Linked DNA regions of Lonchura striata. The protein of the gene in region 3 purifies or fractionates together with the protein of the main gene of each other region. This does not show direct contact. Links are inferred from orthologs where the notes say so. Each region holds a gene or a part of one and is shown on either strand. Other genes may lie near its edges.

Region 1 (7,134 bases), on a different chromosome or scaffold from region 3:
CAATGGGGCATGGGACAGCAGGACATAGGGACATTGGGACAGGCGGACACCGGGGCACGCGGACAGCGGAACATGGGATATTGGGACACGCGGACACCGGGACAGCGGGCACGGCGCGGCAGCGGGCGGAGCCGGCCCGCCGCTTCCGGGCGGGGCAGGGGCGGGGCCGCGCGTGCGCGAGGGGCGGGGCGGCGCGGCGAGCGCGCGGGAAGGCGGCGGCGCGTGAGTGCGGGGGGGGACGGGGACACCGGGACCGGGGACAGCGGGCGGGGAGGGGCTGGGGGCACGGACAGGGCGAGGGGGACGGGGGGGCGTGCGGTGGGAGTGCGGGGTGGGGTGAGAGCAGGTGGGTGTGAAAGGGCCGCGTGTGCGCGGCTGGGGTGCGTGTGCAAGGTGAGAGTGCAAGGGCGCACACAGCGTGTGTGCGTGCAGGGCAGCGTTTGAGGGTTGGTACGGCGTGCAGTGTGTGTGCAGGGGATGGCCCGTGGGTAGGTGTGTGTGCAGGGATTGGTCCGTGGGCAGGATTTGGTCCGTGGGCAGGTGTGTGTGCAGGTGTGTGTGCAGGGGATGGCCCGTGGGTAGGTGTGTGTGCAGGGATTGGTCCGTGGGCAGGTGTGTGTGCGCTGGTGTGCGTGCAGGGGATGGTCCGTGGGCAGGATTTGGTCCATAGGCAGGTGTGTGTGCAGGTGTGTGTGCAGGGGATGGTCCAAAGGCAGGATTTGGTCCATGGGCAGGTGTGTGTGCAGGGATTGGTCCGTGGGCAGGATTTGGTCCATAGGCAGGTGTGTGTGCAGGTGTGCGTGCAGGGGCTGGTCCGTGGGCAGGTGTGTGTGCAAGGATTGGTCCATGTTCAGGTGTGTGTGCAGAATTTGGTCCATGGGCAGGTGTGTGTGCAGGGGATGGTCCATATACAGGTGTGTTTGGAGGTCTTGGGCCACGGGCAGGTGCGTGGGCAGGATTTGGCCCATGGGCAGGTGAGTGAGCACGGGATGGTCCATGGGTAGGTGTGTGTGCAGGGGTTATTCCGTGTGCAGGTGTGCGTGCAGGGGATGGCCCATGTACAGGTATGTGTGGAGGGCTTGGTCCATAGGCAGGTGTGTGTGCAGGTGTGTGAGCAGGATTTGGTCCGTGTTCAGGTGTGTGTGCAGGTGTTGGTCTGTTGGTAGGATTTGGTCCATGTTCAGGTGTGTGTGCAGGGGCTGGTCCATGTTCAGGTGTGTGTGTAGAGGTTGGTCCATGTGCAGGTGTATGTGCAGGGGTTATTCCATGGGCAGGTATGTGAGCAGGATTTGGTCCATGGGCAAGTTGTGTGTGCAGGGGTTATTGCACGTGCAGGTGTGTGTGCAGGGGATGGTCCATGCACAGGTGTGTGTGCAGGGGATGATCTGTGTGCAGGATTTGGTCTATGGCCAGGTGTGTGTGCGGGGGATGGTCTGTGTGCAGGGCTTGGCCCACGGACAGGTGTGTGTGCAGGGGCTGGTCCGTGTTCAGGGGCTGGTCCGTGTGCAGGTGTGTGTGCAGGGGCTGGTCCGTGTGTAGGTGTGTGTGCAGGGGCTGGTCTGTGTTCAGGGGCTGGTCCGTGTGCAGGTGTGTGTGCAGGGGCTGGTCCGTGTGCAGGTGTGTGTGCGGGGGCTGGTCCATGTGCAGGTGTGTGTGCAGGGGCTGGTCCGTGTTCAGGGGCTGGTCCGTGTGCAGGTGTGTGTGCAGGGTTTGGCCCACGCACAGGTGAACGTGCAGGGCTCAGCCCATGGGAAGGGACTGCTCGGTGTGAGGCACAGCGGGTGGCTGTCCCCAGCCTCTGTCCCCAGCCCCCGTCCCACCGCAGCCGCCATGGAGGTGAGCCACTCGCTGAAGGAGCGCACCATCGCCGAGAACAGCCTGGTGATCCTGCTGCAGGGCCTGCGCGGCCGCGTCACCACCGTGGAGCTGCGCGACGAGAGCGCGGCCGCGGGGCGCGTCACCAGCGTGGACGCCTTCATGAACGTGCGCCTGGCCGAGGTGACCTTCACGGACAGGCGGGGCGCCGTGTCCCAGCTGGACGAGCTCTTTGTGACCGGCAGGAACATCCGCTACGTGCACATCCCCGACGAGGTGGACATCCGGGCCACCATCGAGGAGCAGCTGCAGGCCATCCACAGGGTGCGCTACTTCGGGGGCCGCGACAAGGGCCGCAGGGAGTTCCCTCCTGCCAAGCACAAGTGAGGAGCTGGTGCTGCCCACCGCAGCCAGCATGGACCAGGCACGGGGCTGGCATGGAGGTGCCCCTTTGATGGACTGCCAGCTCCCTCCATCCCACACGACATCCCCCAAGGAATGTTTTCTCCCAGGGACTTCAGGGTCTTGCTGTTCCCCACACCTGCAGAGGAGCAGGACTGTTTTTTGTAGTGAATAACACCACTTAAAGGCTCTGTGGTCTCTCTGCTCATTTCCTGTTCCATTGGCAGCTACTCGTGTCCCTCCTCCAATGGCCAAAGGAGCGGAGCTGCCATCCCACTGCCCCTGGCTCAGGCTTTCCTTGCCCGCTGAGCAAAGGACTTGCTGTCACCAGCATGGCTACCCTGGGAGCTGGAGCTGTTGGTGCTGAGCTGGGCAGGGGCTGGTTCTGGTCTGTGCTCAGAAGAGAGCGAGATGAAGGGGAACGTGCAGAGGAAGAGGCAGCATCGTCTGTCCCAAAAAGCAGGAACGTGCTTTACCAGGATGCTGGCACTGCCGGCTCCTCTGCTTCCTGCCCCTCCATCACCAAACTCTGCCGTGCTACCAAAGTCTGCAGCCCTCCTTGGCCAGTTCCCACAGGGACCCGCGGGACACGGAGCCTTGTGGCCTCTGCGAGCGGAGCTGGTGGCTGTGCCCCAGGGGTGTGTGTTTGCACAGCCCTGTGGCTGGGCAGCAGCACCGGGCAGAGCAGGGAGCCCAGCCCGGAGGGCTCCAACCCCGCTGGTCCCAACCCGGGGCTCAGAGCGTGGGGGTTCTGTGGTCCCAGTCCGGGGTGTTCTAGTCAGGGGGACCCAACCCAGGGTGTCCCAGTCTGCAGGTCCAAACCCAGGGTGTCCCAGTTCGGGTGTCCCAGTCTGGGATATCCCAGCCTGGGATGTCCTGGTCTGGGGTGTCCCAGTTCAGGGTGTCCCAGTATGGGGGTCCCAGTTTGGGTGTGCAGTTCAGGGGGTCCCAGTTTGAGGGTCCCAGCTCAGGTGTCCCAGTTCGGGGGTCCCAATTCGGGTTTCCCAGTTCGAGGGTCCCGGTTTGGGTTGTCCCAATTTGGGGGTCCCGGTTCGGGTGTCCTGGTTCGGGGTGTCCCAGTTCGGGAGTCCCGGTTTGGGTGTCCCAGTTCGGGGTGTCCCAGTTTGGGAGTCCCGGTTCGAGGGTCCCAGTTTGGGTGTCCCGGTCCGGGGTGTCCCAATTTGGGTGTCCCAGTTCGGGGTGTCCCAGTTTGGGGGTCCCGGCTCGGGTGTCCCAGTTCGGGGTATCCCAGTTTGGGTGTCCCAGTTCGGGGTGTCCCAGTTTGCGGGTCCCGGCTCGGGTGTCCCGGTCCGGGGTGTCCCAGTTTGCGGGTCCCGGTTCGGGTGTCCCGGTTTGGGGGTCCCGGTTCGGGTATCCCAGTTTAGGGGTCCCAGTTCGGGGTGTGTTTGCGGGTCCCCGTTTGAGGGTCCCGGTTCGGGTATCCCAGTTTAGGGGTCCCAGTTCGAGGTGTCCCAGTTTGCGGGTCCCGGTTCGGGTGTCCCGGTTCGGGGGTCCCGGTTCCGCCGGGCGGGGCTCTGTGGGCGGGGCCTGTGTGCTCTGTGGGCGGGACCATCTTGACAAGCCCCGCCCCTTGGCCAATCACGGCGCGTTCGAATCTCCCGCGTGCTCACCAACCCTGCGGGCTCCTGGCCCAGGCCTGAGCCAATCAGCGATGGCTTCATCGCGCCACAGCCAATCAGCGCTCGCTGCTTGCTTCCCTCGCCTCTGCACGTCCTAACCAATCAGAGCCAGCTGCAAAACCCGGTCCGGCCCCCGGGCTCTCCTCCAATCACCGCCCGCGCTGTCGCCGTCGCCCAATCAGCGCCGCCGTTTCCCCGTTCCGGCGGCGGCCAGCAGGGGGCGGGCTGGCGGCGGGGGGCGGTGGCGGCGCGTCACTTCCGGTGCCAGGCGGCCGCCGGAGCGGAGCGAGGCCGGGCCGGGCCGGGCCCGGGGCCATGGGTGAGTGAGGGGCGAGAGAGCGGGGAGCCGGGACAGCGTGAGTGAGGGGCGAGAGAGCGAGGGGCGAGAGAGTGGGGAACCGGGACAGCGTGAGTGAGGGGCGAGAGAGCGAGGAACCGGGCCCGGGTGAGAGAGCGGGGAACCGGGACAGGGTGAGTGAGGGGCGAGAGAGCGGGGGGCGAGAGAGCGGGGAACCGGGACAGCGTGAGTGAGGGGCGAGAGAGCGGGGAACCGGGCCCGGGTGAGAGAGCGGGGAACCGGGACAGGGTGAGTGAGGGGTGAGAGAGCCGGGGGAACCGGGCCCGCGGGGGGAATGGGGCGGGCTGAGGGGAGAAGCGGGGATCGGGTGGGATATGGCCCCGGTCCCCGTCCCCATTCCGGTGCCCGTCCCGGTGCCCCTGTGCGCTGGACCGGGCGCTGCGGGGAGACGCGCCGGTGGTACCGTTCATGCACCGGGCCTCGACGGGACCGGGCCGGGGCAGCCCCCCAGGTGCTTGGGGGCTTGGCTGCCCCGCTCGGCTCGGTGCTCTCCAGGCCGGGGCTGGGTTTGAGCCCCGCGGGGGCTGGGGCGGTGCTGCCAGCACGGTGGCAGGTCCGTCCGGGAGCCGAAGGAAGCACGGCCCGTGACTGGGGTCACGGTCCAGTCTGGGCAGGAATCTTTGAATTTAGACTTTCGGGAGCTGTATGCGGAGGAGGAGCCTCGTGTGCCTCAGCAGTGAGTAGGTGAGGGCTGTGTCTCTGGGTGAGGGTGAGTAACATCAGCAGGTGTCAGAGCAGGGACAGACCCTGCCCTGCACTCCGTGGGAGCTCACCTGAGGGGCTGGGGCACCTCCCACCCCCAGAGCCAGGTGCTGTCCCTCTCTGGTCTGGCCTGTGGGAGCCCTGCTGCCTGTGCAGTGCTGAGGGTGTCTCACTGCTGGGGGGACCTCATGGGGCATCGTCTCCACCCCTGTATGGGGGATTTAGGGTTGTGCCCGTCCAGCTGCTCCCTCCTGCCCAGGCTGTGCTGAAATGTGCTGCACCAGAGTTGGGGATTCAGTTCTTTGCTAGTTTAGAGCCCTAATGGCTAAAAGGCTTAACATCTGCTGGTATAAACAGGTGTGCTGGGGGTCTCGGGCTGCAATCCCATATCCAGGGGGAGCTGGAGAAGTCAGAGCAGAGGCCATTGCCTGATGTGGTGGGGCTGAGCCACCGCCCCTCTGCCCTGTGCTGTGGGACAGATGGCTGCTCTGAGGCAGCAGGGACACAATGGGGCACCCAGGTGAGGCACCTGGCACCCAGGTGAGGCGTGGCTTGAGGGACAGCACGGGAGCACTCACCTGCTGGCATGGAGCCCTGGGCTGGCAGCACTCAGGATTCAGGACATATTTCCCCGTTGCTGGAGGGCTCGTGCTGCATCCTTTGATTGTTTCTCTGTGGTATCCATGCTGAGGGATTGATCTCATAAGTGTGCTCCTTAGAAGCAAAGTTCAGCTGGGCTGTGGCCCTCAGGATGTTTCAGAGCTTGGGAGAGGCAAGGGAAGCCTCATAGGTAGCAAGCTGTGCTGTGATTCAGCACAGAAAGGACACCAACCTGTTGGAGCGAGTCCAGAGGAGGCACCAACCTGATCAGAGGGCTGGAGCACTTCTGCTATGAGAGAATTGGGGTTGTTCAGCCTGGAGAAGAGAGCCTTCAGGGTGACATAACTGCCCCTTCCAGTGCCTGAACGGGCCACAAGAAAGATGGACAGAGACTATTTACAAGAGCCTCAAGTGACAGGACAAGGGGGCATGGCTTTACACTGACAGGGGGCAGGGTTAGATGGGATATCTGGGAGAAATTCTTGCCTGTGAGGGTAACCTCTGGCACAGGTTACCCAGAGAAGCTGTGACTGCCCCATCCCTGGAAATGTTCCAGGCCCCAGGTTGTTCCAGGGCTTGGAACAACCTGGGGTAGTGAAAAATCTCTTTACCCATGGCAGGAGGGTAGAAGGGTCTTTAAGGTTCCTCCCAACCCAAATTATTCTGTGACTAGGAATAGGAACAGCCCTGGGAATTGTGCCTGACCTGCCCACTGAGCTCAAGGGATGTTACCTGCGCAGAGGCTCCAGGCAGGTACAGTGTGTGTCTCCTTCCTGCCTGGGACCTCTTGCTGGACAGACTAGGCTCTGTGTGGCCATTTTCTGTGTGAAACAGGCTGTTTTGGTTAATATTTTTTCATGAGTGTGCAGTTCCTGTCAGTGTGTTGTCACACTGCAAACCCCGGTAGCGTAGGCCTGGCAATGTGTGCAGGTAACTTCAACACGTTTGTCTCCAGGTAGGGCCAGGTGAGTCACTGCTGAAAGAAACTGCAGCCACACCTTGCTGGGAAGTGGCAGCACGTGTGTGGGTCACACTCTGTGCACGCAGAGGTCCTGCTGCAGGGGCTTATAGCATATTGATAGTGTCAGAAGCAATCAGTGAGAAATTAAACCTTGTCATACAACCCACTGCTCACCCCTGGTGGGGTTTGGGAGGTGAGCACAGCCTGACTGCAGGCACAGACCAGGTCAGGGACTCCTGTGCTGGGGCAGCAATGCAGCCTCAAGTGCTGCAGCTGCATTTCCAGGCTGCTGCTGTGAGGGTGTCGTGCTGGAATGAGGATTTTTTCTGGTAGATGTGGCCTGTGCTGCAGCACGAACGGGTTAAGCTGAGGTTGGTGTTTATGTAACCAAAGAGGGAACTCCCAGAGATGAGTCCTTGGCTATCTCATGTGTTGATGCATCAGAAGGGCTTGAAGAAAGCCTGGCTTGTTGCTTGCGCCGTAATTACGCACTGGAAGCCTGTGCTTCAGAGTTTCCCTGGCTGCCGGGGGGGCAGCCAGGATGGAATTTGCTTTCCCTGATGTGTGACTTGGCCTGTGGAAGCCTTTTTTGTCCCTGAGAAGTTGGAGACTGACCACAGCTGGATGTGGGTGGAGGTAAGGTGTGCTGGGCTCCT
Region 2 (7,757 bases), on a different chromosome or scaffold from region 3:
GAGCCTGGCGCCTGGGAGGTGACTGTCACTTCCCTGAGACACGCAGCCCATGGATCACTTCGTGTGGAAGAAGTCTCAGTCTCCCTGCAAGATGACTTATGCAGAGTATCCTTAATGATTCCGTGGCTGGACTCCATGGCTGCAGCTGCTTGTTGCACAAGTAAATGGAGCTGCAGCTGCAAATGGCACAGACTCGAGTGTTAAGTAGGGTTTATGTACCCAAAAGAGCAGAACCTTACACTGCTACTAAAGTTCATTCATCTATAGATAGTACTTGGATTCTCCTTCCTTTAATGCCATGGGTAGGGTGTCTTCTCTCTTTGCACAAGATGAGAACTGCTACTTTGCTGGGATGTTGTCAGCAACTGGCTTCAGAGGCTAAAAACACAGATAAGTTAGAGCAGATTCCTCCAGTCAGTCTTACAAAATGTACATCTGTCAGAAATACCAGTTTCTTTGCGTAAAATACCCACTAAGGAGTACAGCTGGAGACAACTTATCCCAAAGAAACAGATTTGTTTGCAGCCTAAGTTTCAGGCCAGTCGGGAATACGTGATGTTTGCTTTCTGTACTTGATCCACACAACTCTGAAAGCAGGCAGACATATCTCCACTAAGACTAAGTTGGGAAATAGAGGCAATCCTCTGAAGCAGGACCTATGAGGAGTGTGCTACATGAGGGCGCAGGTGTCCCCACACCAAGACTTTCCCCTCTGTCCTGAGCCCATCATGAGTTGTGCTCCAGTGCAGGGTTCTGGCCTGCAGGCAGTGCAAAGGCACACTGCTGGCTGGAGGAGGCACAGAAACCTCTCAGCTGATCTATCCTCTTTCACTCTTGTACCCTCGCCACTGATAGTAATCACAGTGTTGTTGATACCTGGACTAAATCAAACCAATTCTTAGAGCTCATCTTGTGCTAACAGGAACTAGAAGATAATTGACAAATCACTGTTCCAGCTGCAGTGCACTGGAGCTGGAAGACTTTTTTCCATGTCCTTTTTCCTGATATAACACAAAGGTATCTCCAGTAAGCAGCACCTAACCTTCCCTTTGGCTGCATACATGGACTGTGGAACTGGTAATGCAAGGTAACCCCAGGAAAGAAGTGTCTCCAGAGCCAGAGGCTGCTCCCAATGCACCTGGGCAGTGAAAAGAAGATATTCACTCAGAGGGTCTCCAAGAGCTCATAATGGTGTCCTGAAGCTCAGGAACCAGGGAGATCTTCCGTAGGTATTGAAGTGCTGGTAGTCACACTCATTGCCAGGGCTGTGGGTGTAGGTGATGTTGTGAAGGCCAGTTATGTATCGGCATAAGTGCTCACACATTTGTTCTCTAACAGCTTTTGCCTGTGTCATCTTTTTCTCTCTGGAGCAGTCAGTAATGGCATCAGCAAGACTTTTCAAGGGTCAGTCAGTATTTCAGTGTGAAGCATGGGATTGTGCTATTGCCAATACTACTGCTTACTACTTCTGAAAGTCCATTGTAGGCACTCATCTATAAAGTTTTTGATCCTTCTGGAAGAGAAGGAAATGAGACTTCCCTTTCTCTTAGCAATAGAAAATAAGATGCACACACAGACACTAACAGCCAGGCTGAAAGAAAGGTCTAAATAACAGCAATTCTCTTTTGCTTCCACTGAAAACAAGGGGAAACACTACACTTCAATGACTTTATGGAGCTAGTCTTGAGATCTGTGAGTCGGAAAGCTATTTACAGAAAGCAGGGGAACCCAATGGCTTTAAAAAAACCACAAACCCAAAAGAAAATACCAAAAAGAGTCCCCAGAGCTATATTAAAAAACGTTTTTAATAACAGCAACAAAGAGTTAAATCATGGGAGTGACTCTAATAGCAGATGTCGCCTTGTAAAGGTGAGACTGCTGACCTGGATCTCTCAGGGACTCTAACTTTGAATTTCCGGGCTTGAATTGAATTCCTCAGAGACATTCTGGGTTTTGCTGACTGCCTTGGTGATTTTTCCTAACATCAGGGGTAAACATACAGAGTCAAATACCCAGTAGTATTCCAGCACCTCTGAGAGGGGAGGTCAGGAGGAGCACTCCGCAGCTCTACCCCTCCAGCTGCACCTGCAGGGTAAATCCAGAGCTGTGTTTTGCCCTTCTGCCTTTGGGACATTTGTCATCCAGCATCCCTGACAGCCTGGGAGGTCTCCTGACCAATACTGCCTACCTGAAGCACCTTTTTCTCTCTCTCAGACCAGTTTTACCAGCTCCCATACTGGTTTTACGGCTCACTCTGCTGTCCCTGCTGGGAGGAGTGCTGCAGCTGATCTTTTTGGGCGTTTTCCCATACCTGGGTTTAGGATTACCCTCCTCAGGGAATGCCCTAGTGTTTCACCAGCTGCCTCCTCCACTCCAGACAAGTAAAGCTGACTGTGGACAATACAGTTGCTCAATGCAAAGGAGGCAATATGTTTCCAAAGGCTGTTGAAAGAGAAATTAAAGGGAACAGCAGCTATCTCCCCACAGGACTTCTGGCTGAGCCAAGGAGTTGACAAGTGCTGTGTTTCATGAACTTTTCAGTTTGGCATGTAAAAGGCTGGATCTGGGGACAACATTTCTCATAACACCCAAAACATCTTTGGGGCATCCTTTATCAACACTTTTCTAATTAACTTGTGCAGAAACTGGTCTGCCCTTGCTGTATAAAACTCAGGCCTGCTGTTGGGAAACAGGAACCCAACAGGCTATGGTCCTCACCATTGGGATTCCCACCCACCCGGGCAGAAGAAAGCTGCCTCAAACCTGGGAAAAGCTGTTCACTCACCACCAGACATCTGTCACAGAATCACAGAAACATTTAGGTTGGAAAATACCTCCAAGATCATCTAGTCCAATCTGTGACTGATCACCACCTTGTCACCCAGACTAGAGCACTGAGTGCCATATCCAATCTTTTCATGAACAGCTCCAGAGATGGGGACTTCACTACCTCCCTGTTCTAATGCTTAACAACCTCTTTCATTGAGAAATTCTTCCTGATGTTCAACCTGAACCTCCTCTGACCAGGTTGAGGCCATTTTCCTCTTCTCCTGTCACTTGTTACCTGACAGCAGAGCTTGACCCCTACCTGGCTACACCTTCCTATCAGGGAGTTTAATAAAGTCCCCTCTGAGCCTCCTCTTCTTCAGCATGAGCCCCCAGAGCTGCTACTCAGAGGACTTGCTCTCCAGCCCCTTCTCTGTTGCCACTGTTGTCCTTCTCTGGAGCCACTCCAGACCCTCAAAGTCTTTCTTGAAGTGAGAGGCCCAGAACTGGACATAGCAGTTGAGGTGAGGTTGCTGCTGACCAGCACCCTCAGGTTCTCCTCCACTTGGCCACTCCTCCTCCAGTCTGTTACACTGCCTAGGATTCTTGTCACCCAAGTGCAGACTAGGCACCTGTTGAACCTCACACAATTGGCCTTGGTCCATGGATCCATTTCTTTGTGTGGGGCTGGATGGCATGGGATAAAGCTCAGCATACTTAGAGCTGCCCTTTGGGGTACCTAACTAAGGTGAAGAACATCCTGTGAGAGACAGAGCAGCCCTGCCCTTCACAGGATCTCTTTGTGGTGCTGGGGGCCCAGGGAGGGTCTCTGAGTGACAGCCTGGCACATTTCCCTCTGAGGCCAGGGTGCCTTCCCCTCAGTGCAGGGAGATCACAGAATCACAGACTCAATTAGGCTGGAAAAGACCCGTGAGGTCATCGAGCCCAAGCTATGAGCCAGCACCAGCTTGTCAACCAGACCATGGCACCATGTGCAGTCTTAAACACCTCCAAGGGCACTGACTCCACCGTCTCCCTGGGCATCCCATTCCAATGAATAATCACCCTTTAGTGTGAAAGAATTCCTCACTATGTCCAGCCTGAACCTCCCTCGGCACAGCTTGGACTATTTCCAACCTATCGCTGCTTGCCTAGGAGTAGATTCCCACCCGCACCTGGCCACAACCTCTTGTCAGGCGGTCACAGGGAGCGAGAAGGTTCCCCCTCAACCTCCTTTCCTCCAAGCTGAGCTCCCCCAGCCGCTCCTCAACAGACTTGTACCTCAGGATTGTGCACCACTAGATGTGCTGTCAGGGGGAGCAACTTGAGGCGCAGCTGGAAGCTCCTGACCCACACTCCGAGCCCGCGGCTGAAGTAGGAAAGCCCAAGCCCAAGCCCAAGCCCAAGCCCAAAGCCCAAGCCCAAACCCAAGCCCAAACCCAAACCCAAGCCCAAGCCCAAGCCCAAGCCCAAGCCCAAGCCCAAGCCCAAAGCCCAAAGCCCAAGCCCAAACCCAAGCCCAAGCCCAAGCCCAAGCCCAAGCCCAAGCCCAAGCCCAAGCCCAAGCCCAAGCCCAAGCCCAAGCCCAAGCCCAAGCCCAAAGCCCAAAGCCCATCGGCCACGGCTCCGCCGCTCCGTGAGGGGAGCGCGGCCGGCCCCGCCCCGCCCCGCCCCTCAGGGGCGCGGCCCCGCCCCGCGCACGCGCGGCCGCGCTGTCCGCCTGTCAATAAAGCTTGAACAAGCGCCGCGCCGGGGCCGCCGTTTTGGGTTTTTGATTTTTTTTTTTTAATTGCGGGATTTTTTTTTTTTTTTCATTTTTCTTTTTTTTAATTCTTTTATTCCTCCTCCCCGTTTTCTTCCTCTGAAGGAACTTTATTTCCCCTTCCCCCCGCGCGCACGGGGATGCGCTGAGGCCGCTCCGCCCGGCCCGGCCCGGCCTCGGCATGTCGGGCAGCCGCCCGCCGCACCCCGCCGTGCCGCCCGCCGCCACACCGGCCTCCTCTTCCTCCTCCTCCTCATCCTCCTCGTCCTCCTCCTCCTCCTCCTCGGCGGCCATGGCCCCCGGCTCGTCCTCCTCGGGCGGCGCGGCGGCGCGGCCCGTGCTGGTGGCGGCCGCCGTGTCGGGGTCGGGCGCGGGGCTGGCGCGGCTGGCGGCGGGGCCGGCGCGGCCCGGCGGCTCCTCCGCGGCGCCGGGGGCCGGCGGCAGGAAGAGGCCGCTGCTCACCCCGCTCTGCAACGGGCTCATTAACTCCTACGAGGACAAGAGCAACGACTTCGTGTGGTGAGCGCGATATGTCGCGATATGTCACCGGGGGAAGGCCGGGCGCCGCCATGCCGTCGGGAAGCCTGGGGAGTGTGGAATAGCGGCGGGAGGAGGGAGCAGCCGGCAGCCCCTCCTGGCGCTGGGACGGCTGCTGCCCGCCGGGGATTGTGGCTCGGGGGTTTTCCCTCTTTTGTGCCTCTGTCAGAAATAGTGTGGCCGGCAGGAGTAGGGAAGTGATTGTCCCTCTGTGCTGGGCTCTGGTGAGGCCGCACCTCCAGTCCTGTGTCCAGTTCTGGGCCGTTCAGTTCAGGAAGGACGTGGAGCTGTTAGAGCAGGTCCAGAAAAGGGCTGCAGAGCTGGGGAAGGGCTGGAGCACCAGGACTAGTTGGGAGGGGATCTCCTAGGGTAGCCTAAGGAGGAGAAGTGACTCGGGGGAGACTTTGTCACTTTCTACAACTCTGTGACAGGATGTTGCAGCCAGGTGGGGATCAGACTCTCTGATAGCTAGCAACAGGACAAGTGGACACAGCCTTAAGCTGTGCTAGGTTGGATGTTGGCAAGAATTTCTTCCTAGAAGGGTTGATTATATATTGAAATGGGCTGCCCAGGGAGGTGGTGGAGTCACCATCCCTGGAGCTATTCAGAGAACAACTGGACATAGCACTCAGCTAGTTGACACCACTAGTTGGCATGGTGGTGTGGGGTCGTAGGTTGGACTTGATGATCTCAGAGGTCTTTTCCAGCCTAACTGATTTTGTCTGGTTTTGGCCCTATGTAGCGGCATTGCCTCCACCCTCTCTATTTTTAAGCAAAATCAGGTTATTCCTGGCAGGTTCCTCCTTGAGTGCACCCAAGTTGTTGGAAAGGCCCTGCAGCACGAGATGTTTCCTCACAACGTTCTGACAACACAGCAACTGCCTTGTTTTCCTGGACAATGTGACCTCGAGTGGTCTGGAGCCCTCTCATCTTTGGAAGAGGATTCATCAAAGGATTAAGTGCCCCTCTGGAAGGGACTCCAAGGACCCTCATGATGTTTGATAGCTCCAGCAAAGCTGGCTTGGTTTGCCCATGTTGCTGGGAAAGGTTGTCTAGTTTGAAACTGCAACAAGTTTTGTATCAGGCAGGCACCTACAACCAGTTTAGTAGGGAATTTCTTCTGTGATGGTCTAAAAATTTTACAGATGTTGTTTTCTAGCACCCAGCCATTCAACTGTAGCTCATAGCTGGAAATCACCTTTCAACATAATTGGCAAACTGAGGCCCATGGTTTGAGAACTGTTGGTAATTTGAATCTGTTGCTGGCAGGTTTCAAATGTCCCAACACAAGAAGTAGGTTTGGTTTTTGTAGTTGAATGTGCTAAAATGTGACAACAGGAAGTAAGGTTAGGTGTTTGCCTCTGAGAAAGGCAAACAGGGAAGAGGTAGTGGGAAAAAGATCAAGTTGTAGCAGTCATGGAAAGGAGATAGTAAAAAAAAGTTGATTATAAGTGGGCCACAGCTTCCAAGATTATTTTGACAGCTCTAATGTAAGCTCTGACTTACAGGTGAGGATTGGATGTGAGGCATCTCCCAGAGGACAGGTATTGTCTCAAAACCTTGTAGGCTTAACTTTACAGCTTGTAAAGTGTTTAGCAGAGTAGATAGGAAATACCTTTGCTACTGAAGTGAAAACCTGAAGCTAATAAGTTAGTAGCAGGAAAAACAATAAGTTATTCTTGTTAGGAATTAGTAACAGTCAAAAATTACTGCTTTTACTGTAGTTAGTAGTTTGCTCAGTAGCAGAATGGGGATGAGAGGACTGCTGTCATCAGCTGATGCCCTGCTCTGGTTCTAGGCCATGTTAGGTGGATTTAGGAGCTCTTGGTGTGAGCTTGGTTGCTCCCAGGTTTTCTGGTCATGGGGTATGAACACAGCTACAAGTGCCCATTCTCCTCTGTTCCCTCTACTCTTACACTCTGGCAGTAGAGTTCTGCCAGCATGGCTCCCTGCCCTTTCCAGTCAGCTCTTATGTCCTATTTTGTTGTCTGTTGAAGAAATGAGGGGTTTGGAAAGGAAATTACACCCATAACAAATTTGTAGACTTGATGTATTTTTAGATGGTTCAGAAAGCTGAGGTTCTTGCTTTTTTTCTGCAGGTAAGTACTGTGCGTGCTTCAAGGAGAACCTGTAATTAGCTGTTTTCTTCTCATTGAGAAGCACTACTGACTGAACAAGTGAGAGGAAAGAAATCAGCCCAGTAGCACTCAGGGCAAAATGTCATTTCTTAGTATTTACAAGAGCCACACTGAACATACTGAAGTACAGGTCAGAAGCTTTATGAGCAGACAATGGTTATAGTTAACTTGGGTTTTTCACTGCTCTATATTTCTGTGGGCTAAAGGGCTTGTTCTTACTTATTATTGTTTTAGCTTCAAATAACAGTATCTGTCTTTTTTTAAATTTGATTTAGCAATATAGTTATGTAGAAATAAACCAAACTGGGCAGCTCTGAAGTTTTGAGCAATGTCCAGGAAGGCAGGTGTGTGTTAGTTTAAATAATTGATTTAAACAAGCTTTACATATCTCAGTGTGAGAAACAGAAGTTTCCCCCATGCCTTTTTGCCTCTGTAAGGATAATTCAAGATGCTGCCAGAGGCAGAGAGCAGACTTGCTAATTTTTCTGAACATGAGCTGTAAGTTGCTGTTAGCCACAGCTGTAAATTCAGTGGTAGATTATGCCTGTATGAGG
Region 3 (7,978 bases):
GTTAGGCACGTGGAAATGATCATGTGGGCCCCAGCCTAGAGGTGCCCTTTCACCACCTTTCCAGCAAGACCTCCAGCTAGCTGGTCAAAGGGCACAGCAGGTGACACACAGACACAGAAGGGGACCAGACCCAGACAGATCAGCTAGGAAGGGCCTTAGGGAGTGATCCTGCAGCCTACCAGAATGGGTGTAACCACAGCCAGACCTGACTAGCACCAGGACAAGGACAGGGCTGCCCTAAATGGTATTCCCACCCTGAAGCACCCTAAGTCTCAGGCAGATTGCAGGTCTCTGCAGTTTATAAAGCCCAGACAAAATTAGAGGCTAGGGAACCCCTCTGAGGGCACAGGGAAGCAAGTGCAAAAGGTAACACAAGGACAGCTCCAGCAGTCAACTTAAATGCTTTTATTGACAATGTCTCTGAACAATAATAAGCAAACAATGCTTAAGTTTCATCCAAATTCACTTTCCACATGTCAAAAAAGACTTCAAGGTAGAAAAAAATAAAATAAAAATATAAATATCTGAGAATCCATCTTAATAAATAAATTAAAAACACAATAAAAACGTTTTCATGGAAAACTTATGTCAGAACATTCAGACCACCTCAACAATGCATGATCAGTAAAGTTACAATGAACATCAATGTAGAACTACAGTACATGGATATAGCTATTTATCTACCTACTAGAAAATAAAATAGAGTCTCTTTCCCCCCACGTAAGATGGGTCATTGCTAAGTCATCAGAACACGATATTGCCAGGAACACAGTAGTTATTGTTAATCAGCTGCACTAGATACGAGTTGGAGATACCCAGCACCAGGTTAAATTCCAATCATTTAAAACCAATAGATTAATTAGTTAATGCTAGTGATACTAAGGAGGGGAGGGAGTCACCTACCCAGCCATGTGGGACATGCTACAGACTACCAGCTCTCATGGATGGGCCACTGGGGACAAGACAAACTCCATGCGATTTGCTACATCTCTGGAAGAGGTAAGAGACCTCGGTGCATGACGCTCTGCCAGGCCCCGGGGCACCAGGCCAGACAGGGGGTGGCGGTGGCAGGGCCCTCCCCAGGCCTGGGGAGCCCCATGGGGCACAGCTGCAAGTCCGTGGGGGTGCGTGGGCAGGGGAGGGGGCCCAGCAGGTCAGTCAATGCCGGAGCCCTTCACAAAGCCAGGAGGGTGGGGGAGCTGAGGGAGTCGGACGAGGGCTCATTGCTGCTGCTGCCCTTCCGGTGCGCGGCAGCGCAGCTGGGGAAAGCCTCTGCCTCGGGGTAGGTGAAGACGAAGGTGGAGGTGTAGGTGCTGGGACACGGGGTGCAGGTCACCACAGGGGTGCAGAGGGGCTCCAGCTCACCGCTGGTCCCGGCAGTCAGCGACTCCCAGTCCGACGGGTAGAAGGAGGAGGCCCCAGGCAGGTCCATGTCGGGCACCGAGCGGGAGGCCTCCCGCGGCCCCGTGGAGAAGAGCAGCTCGTCGAAAGGCTCAGCTTTGAGCTCCAGCCCGCTGCTGCTGGTCTCCTTGGGCGGCACGGCCGGCGGCGCTTCAGGCATCAGCGGCAGAGCAAAGGCAGCCTCCTCCGTCATGGGGGGGCTGGGGGTGCCCAGGTCCAGCGCGGTAGCGGCGCTGGCAGCTGCCAGCTCCTCGGAGAAGCACAACTCCTCGGGCATCTTGCAGGCGGGCCGGTGGGCCGCCAGGATAAACTCCAGCTTCTCCTTCTCCTTCAGCAGGTTAGCAATCTCCGCCTGCAGCGCGGACTTCTCCTCCTCCAGCTGGTCGGTCTCCTGCCGAGAGAGCAGGCTGTCAGCCAGGGCCGGCATCACTCCCAGCTGGAGTCCTCTTCCTCCCGTCATCCCCGCCCCCGGTACTCCCTCTATCCCAGCCACCTCCCGGGCAGCACTTACCGCCTGCAGCGTGTCGGTGAGCTCCCGCCGCCGGTTGCGGCACTTGGCCGCTGCCATCTTGTTCCGTTCCCGGCGGATCCTTCTCTTTTCCTCCTCCTCCGGGGACAGCTGCGGGCAGAGAGAGATCGCTCAGTCCCGCTGCCAGCCCGGTGCCCCCCGGCCAGGGCAATCCGCCCGCGGCGCGTCCCCCCGGTCCCCCCATCAGCTGCAATCCGCACTCACCTGTTCGACTTTGCCCCGGCGGCCGATGCTCTGTCCGCGGCCGCCCGGCGCCTTCAGCACTGCGGGGCGGGAGTAGGTGGTGGGGGCGGCCGCCGAGACGCCGTAGGGGTGCCCGCGGCTCTGGGAAGGGGCCACTGAAGAGATGAGAGTGGGCTGCACCAGCCACTGCAGGTCAGGGCTGGTGGAGATGGCCGTCACCGTAGGCACGAAGTTGGCGCTGGAGGCGGCCAGGTCGGTGCAGAAGTCCTGTAGGTCAGAGGAAGGGGGGCTGCCGTCAGCGGAGCGCCCGGGCCGCTCCCCGCCGTCCCCGGGGCCGCGGCGCCGCGCTGCCAGCGCCGGCTCCACACGAGAGCGGCCTGTTATAAATATCTCTGACGTCCGCGCTGACGCAGACGCTGCTCCGGAGTCTCCTCAATGAACTCGCGTTTTATCAATGAAGCCGCTTTACACACCCGCCGCAGAGCGCGGCCCGGGCTACGGCACCCCCCGACCGCCCCGCCTCGGCACCGGGGCCGCTCCCCATGCCGGTCCCCGGCCTGACCTCCTCCGCGGACACGGCTAGCCCCGTACCACCCGCTCCCGTCCCGTCCCCTCCTGAGCGCTCCTGCCCTGCCCCGGCCAAGAGCGCAGCCCGCACGCTCAGCAACTCACCTGCGGGTTGACAGGGGAGCCCATACTCGAGAATGAGTCCGCCGGGGAGGGGTAATAGGTGAGGCTGTCCCCGGCCGGGGAAGCGCTGCTGCAGCGGGAGGACGGCGCCTCGTACTCTCCGGCGAAGCCCTGATACATCATGTCGGCCCGGTACGCGCAAGCCGAAGGTGAGAGGTGATGCGACGGTGGCAAAGTGTCCTTGGGGATGAAGCGAGGAGGGGTCGGCTGCGTGCGTCCCTGTGCCTGGTCCGCGCCGCGCGTCTCTCCGCTCCACCGCCGGGGCTGCCCGAGCTGCTGGAGTACCGCGCCGTGCCTCCCTTTTATACCCTCCCGCGACGTCACAGGGGACGTGCCACCCGCGCCTGTGGGGGGGGGTCGGCCGCCCCGCGCCCGCCCCGCGCCTCCCCGGGGCCGCCCCGCGCGCAGTCTGCCACCGCCCCCCCCGGGAGAGACCCACAGCACGGGGCGGGGGGAGGCCGCAGGGGCAGGGGGGCCCCAGAGCAGAGCAGGAGGGAGCGGCCACGGAGCTGCCCCCCCGCGCGGAGTGGTACGGCCGGGCTCGGGAACCCACTGACGCAGATATCCTTATATGGGATACATCCTGTGCGAGGGGGCGTGACTGACGGGAAGCGCTCCAGGCTGCAGCCAAGTGCGGCGGGCGGGCGGGCGGCGCGCGGGACGGGACGGGACGGTTCGGGACGCGCCGGCCCCTCCCCCATCGCCTGGCGAGACCCGGCGAGGGCTCTGGGGCACCGACCCTGCCCTGGGGGCTGCCGTGCCGCAGCAGCTGACCCCCTCCCCGGGGGCGCCGGCCCGCCGCAAGTGCGCCCCTCCCTTCAGCGGGGCCCCGCACAGCCTTGCAGCCTTGGGGCAAGGTGCTCCAAGGAAGGCGGCGAAGAAGGGGCCCGGCGGGCCAGGGGTGCGCTTTGCGCTGCAAGTCAAGCCCCATCGTCAGCACTGAGCGGGGTCTGCCCCTAGCTGGGCACTGGTATTCAGTGGGCCCCATGCACGGAAAGCTCAACTTCCACGCGTCCCTCCAGCGAGGAGCGCGTTATGCTCATGTGTCAGTACTGACTTCTCTCTCATGTATGTTTGTAATTGTCGAGAGTGAGGGTAATGGCAGAGGGCGGTGGGAAGCCTGAGGGGCCGCAGCCCTCCGGGAAGGTTGGGAGAGCTTGGGAGCAGCGCTCGGGGTGGGGGTGGGGGGCTGGGATAGCCGCCAAGAGCATGGGCAAGAGGCCACCGGGAAACCACCGACGAGGAGAGAGAGGGGCGAGGCTCGTCCTTTCCTCCAGTTTGGGTTTTGTTTTGATCCTTGTTGCAGCGAAGCCCGGAGACACCCACCCACGACGGGGATGTCAGGCAGCCCTGGCTCAGGTCAGGCTAAGGTGGGAGCCAGACCGCAGACTCGCCTTGCACGGGAGCCAAGAGATCGCGGCTATAGATAGTAACAGGGAAGCTGCAGCAGGGAGCGTGTTTACAGCAACAAACAGAGCCTGCAGCGCAGTCTCTAGGCAGGAGCGTCACCCAGCCAGGCTGGGATCCTGCTGGCAGCCTCTCCCTCTGTTTGAGCTCATGGGCTAAATGCAGCGCTTGATGCTGCTGCTGTTGCTGTTGCTGCGCGAGCAACCTCCGTTCTTAGAGATCTGGGCCACGGGGGCGGGAGAACTGGGCCAGCTGCTATTTCTGATCTGCCCGTCAGAGCAGAGGGGACAGCCAAGGACTGCCGCAGCTCACGGCCCATACCGCTCCCTGGGAAAGGACCTGCGGGGGCCCGTGCTGCTCTCATCAGCTCAGTGCTGGCCCGTAGGCTAGTCCATCCCGGGGCAGGCATCTGTCACCCCAGGTTCCTGTGGTGCCATGGGTTCTTTTCTCTGGCCAGCATTCCCCTCATGCCAGCTACTAAAAGACTGGGGCAAGTATGGTCTCTTCAGCAGCCCGAGGCTGCAGGTGAGGAGGCCCTCAGCACTGCCCAGAGGAGGGACGTGCCAGCAAATTAGCAAAGCCACGATTCTGCCATCCCTGCCAGCAGTGAGCAACAGGCCAAACCCCTGCAGCCACATCCCCACCAGGGCCTAGGTCAACGTATCGGTGCCCAGCATGGGCAAGAGCCTCTGACACAATTTCCAGTCTCAGATATTTGCCAGGCACATTTCGGAAAAATACTGTTTAGCCCTCCTCTCTAGAAACTATCCCAGGGTTCCTCTACCCAAACCACCTTCCCCAAAAGAAGTGTCAGGAAATCAGGAGGGAATCCACTTCACCAAAACCCACAATATTTTTGTGGTGCCCATGCAAACCATTTGTTGCCATCTCCACTGGTGACAAGCATGATCTGTTTGTACCAAATGGAAAGTGCACAGATGCCGCACATTTCTAACACGTGGGGCAGCGAAACAGAGAAAGCAAAAACACATGACGTGGGTTTGTTGTTTGCTCCAAACACAGGGTGCACACGTTTTACCACAGTATGTGTGAGAACAAAAAAAGGAAGCAGGCGGTACCACAGGGACAAAACAGAGTCAGAGCATGAACCCTCCTGCCTGGGTGAGAGGGTTGCCCTCACCAGCATGCCAGGCTGATGGAGGTTCCTCACCTCCCCTGCCAGCTGGGAACGGGAAGAGGCATTAGACCCTGATAAATTAGTTTGATCTGTGGAGTGGACCATGAGTTCAGTGAACACTACAACATTATTAAACCTGTGCAACCAGGGTCAGCAGGGCTTTTACATGCTCTAGTGGTGCTTGGTCAGGCTTCATCTGCAGGGACACACCTCTCTAGGGACTATTCCCTTGCTTCAGACAAGCCCACTGCACCTCTGGGTCCCATGCTGATGAGGAGGAGTTGGCTGCTGACTGTCACCAGCAGGGAGATGACTCTTCCCAGGTGCCTGGCCAGACAGAAGACGCCATTCCCACTTCACTTCTTGGGCATCACAATGGGGCCGGCAGGGCAGAAGGACAGCATCCATCCAATGAGCTCTTGTTCTGCATGCCAACAGAGCCCCTCCACCTTCCTGGCCTCCACTTTTTCTCCTACCAAGAAGGGAGATGGGAAAGCTTGCAGGTCTGAGGCTTATAATAGAACAGTGAGCCCCTAAGCCTCAGAGTACAGCACTGGAACTTGGCTCTACTTTCACACCCATCCTTCACCTGAGCCTGCAACTCAGGCTGACCTTGGAAAACTACAGCAGAAAAGCACCTGAGGTATGTGTGCCAGGGCAACTACACAGTCAAAACCCACTTCAGGGGCAAGAGATGGCTGTGCCTAAATTTGGCCATGCACCAGGGGAAAGTTCATGGCCCTTTGGTAGTCACATGACCATCTCAACCCACTCTCTGTCAGCAGCGCTGACTGTAGCATGTTCCATATTCCTTCTCTAGACACACAACGTGATGGACATCTGCTTCCAGCTAACCAGGGACTGTTGGGGTCATTGGGAAGGAGACCAGACAGCCAGAGTTCAGCAGCAGAACTGGCATGCATGGGGCACTGCTGTGACACCAAAAAATAGCACCCCTGCACTGAGAATTCATCACTGCCTGGGGAAGCAAGCATCCTGCTCATACTATCAGAGGATCCGCACAATAATCTGAGCACCTGTTGTGGTACAAATTTTATAGGCAGGATCCAGGGGCATTTGTGAAATTCTCCCCGAACACACCTGCACATCCACTGCTCCTGGTGTCCTACAATGCACAAGGGATCCCATCCTTCCCCTTGTCCCCAGAGAGGCTTTTAAAGTCAGGCAGAGGCTGCAGGGCTTAGAAGAAAATGGGATGGAAAAGCAGAAAAGGGGGTTGAAAAACCAGTGGCAAGAGCCTGCCCCCTCTGTTGATGTGGCTGGGGAGCAAAGGGTGGAGAAAGGGCTCATAGTATGTTATCTGAGTGTCCTGAATTCCCCCCAAGACACACTGCAGCTGTCACCCTTCTACCTAGCCTGGGAGCCTCCGGGAGGGCAGGGCTCCCACCTCTGCTGGTCTTAAAGGTACAGTGCATACCCAAAGCAAAGTATAAATAGTAATTAATAATCACAGCAGCTGGGTGTGTGACAGGGACATCCTAAAGAATAAACACCACGATCAAAGACATCCTGGCATCTCGTGGTCGCACAGCCGCGTGCCATGGGCCACCAATTACTGCGGATGTTACTGTTGTGCCATCCCACTTATTCTCATCACTCTTTGCCTGCACCATGCTGGATACTGACTCGCCAGGCACAGCTGGACCTTGCTGCACACACTGAGGAACCTGTGCACTGCTCACAGCCAGCAGGTGTGAAAGAGCTTCGCCCATTGAAGCACTGCCTCTGCACCCTCTTGCCCCAAGGCCAGGCTGGCAGCCATCACCCCACGAACCAGGGTTCATAACCTAGGGCAACTGGAGCACAAAGTTCTCCAGATAAAACTCCTGCTGCTGCCACCACCAATGTGCCGTGTGTGCTATGGCAGTGCGACAAAGCCGGAACACCATGGCCAAGCTGGCCTCTTAGCTCCCTGCCAGCTCCAGCACCACAGGCCCATCCCAGGGCATTGGGCATGCTCACAGTTACAGTCCCAGGGCACTAATGAGCTTGGAGGAGAGGAAAACATGCTCAGTGAAAGGCAGCATGTTCAAACCCAGTGACAGACAGGATGATGCAGGACTTTTCTGATTATCAGAAAAGATCCAAACAAGGCAAGCATAGCTGGGATTTATTTCCTTGATGGAACCCCATGAGATGCCTGCAATAAAAACCCACACAATCAAGAGAAAGCTTGGGCTTCCTGTTGTGTCCAAGAGCTTTCTGGAGGTAGGAGCTGAATGGTCACATTGCACAAACTACCTCCTTCCTGTGTGGCTGGGCAGCAATACTGATGCTTGTGCTGGGGGCTGAGTAAAGGGACTGGGGCTGGGTACAGGGGTCCTGCTCCTCTGTTAGTGTAGTGGCTCTTGAGTAAAATGGGTCAAAGGTAGCAAAGGAGGAAGTGCTGAGAAGAAGGAGGAAAATGCCACTGTGCTTAGTTAAGGGGATTTTGTTACAGATGGAGAACAAAGCAGCTGAAGTGAAGGAACAGGATGTTGAAGATTGTTTAGCGCGGGACAGAAAGAAGATTTCTAATTGTTGTGACTGGGGAGTGCTCTGGGGAAAGAAAGGCTCAAGGCAACTCAGGACAGACAAAGGATTACAAAGGATAGTCTGGGAGGAAGAAA

Evidence for each region.
Region 1: the proteins of FOS (region 3) and STK40 purify together in Homo sapiens (affinity purification with mass spectrometry; 3 studies listed by BioGRID and IntAct, counting the BioPlex papers as one, with this or other methods). This does not show direct contact. The link is inferred for Lonchura striata from reciprocal best matches to the Homo sapiens genes FOS and STK40.
Region 2: the proteins of FOS (region 3) and COP1 purify together in Homo sapiens (affinity purification with mass spectrometry; 4 studies listed by BioGRID and IntAct, counting the BioPlex papers as one, with this or other methods). This does not show direct contact. The link is inferred for Lonchura striata from reciprocal best matches to the Homo sapiens genes FOS and COP1.

What each region holds. Positions count from the first base shown.
Region 1 is NC_134628.1:4,218,955-4,226,088, reverse strand, and holds the start of STK40 (serine/threonine-protein kinase 40), read left to right. Parts: upstream 1-4,082; 5' UTR 4,083-4,176; intron 4,177-7,134. Other genes in the region: U7 snRNA-associated Sm-like protein LSm10, read left to right, coding at 1-222, 1,826-2,202. UniProt on the Homo sapiens protein: May be a negative regulator of NF-kappa-B and p53-mediated gene transcription.
Region 2 is NC_134611.1:3,320,971-3,328,727, forward strand, and holds the start of COP1 (E3 ubiquitin-protein ligase COP1), read left to right. Parts: upstream 1-4,703; 5' UTR 4,704-4,709; coding exon 4,710-5,047; intron 5,048-7,757. UniProt on the Homo sapiens protein: E3 ubiquitin-protein ligase that mediates ubiquitination and subsequent proteasomal degradation of target proteins.
Region 3 is NC_134608.1:23,109,050-23,117,027, forward strand, and holds FOS (protein c-Fos), read right to left. Parts: upstream 3,065-7,978; 5' UTR 2,927-3,064; coding exon 2,786-2,926; intron 2,381-2,785; coding exon 2,135-2,380; intron 2,021-2,134; coding exon 1,913-2,020; intron 1,793-1,912; coding exon 1,175-1,792; 3' UTR 391-1,174; downstream 1-390. UniProt on the Homo sapiens protein: Nuclear phosphoprotein which forms a tight but non-covalently linked complex with the JUN/AP-1 transcription factor. In the heterodimer, FOS and JUN/AP-1 basic regions each seems to interact with symmetrical DNA half sites.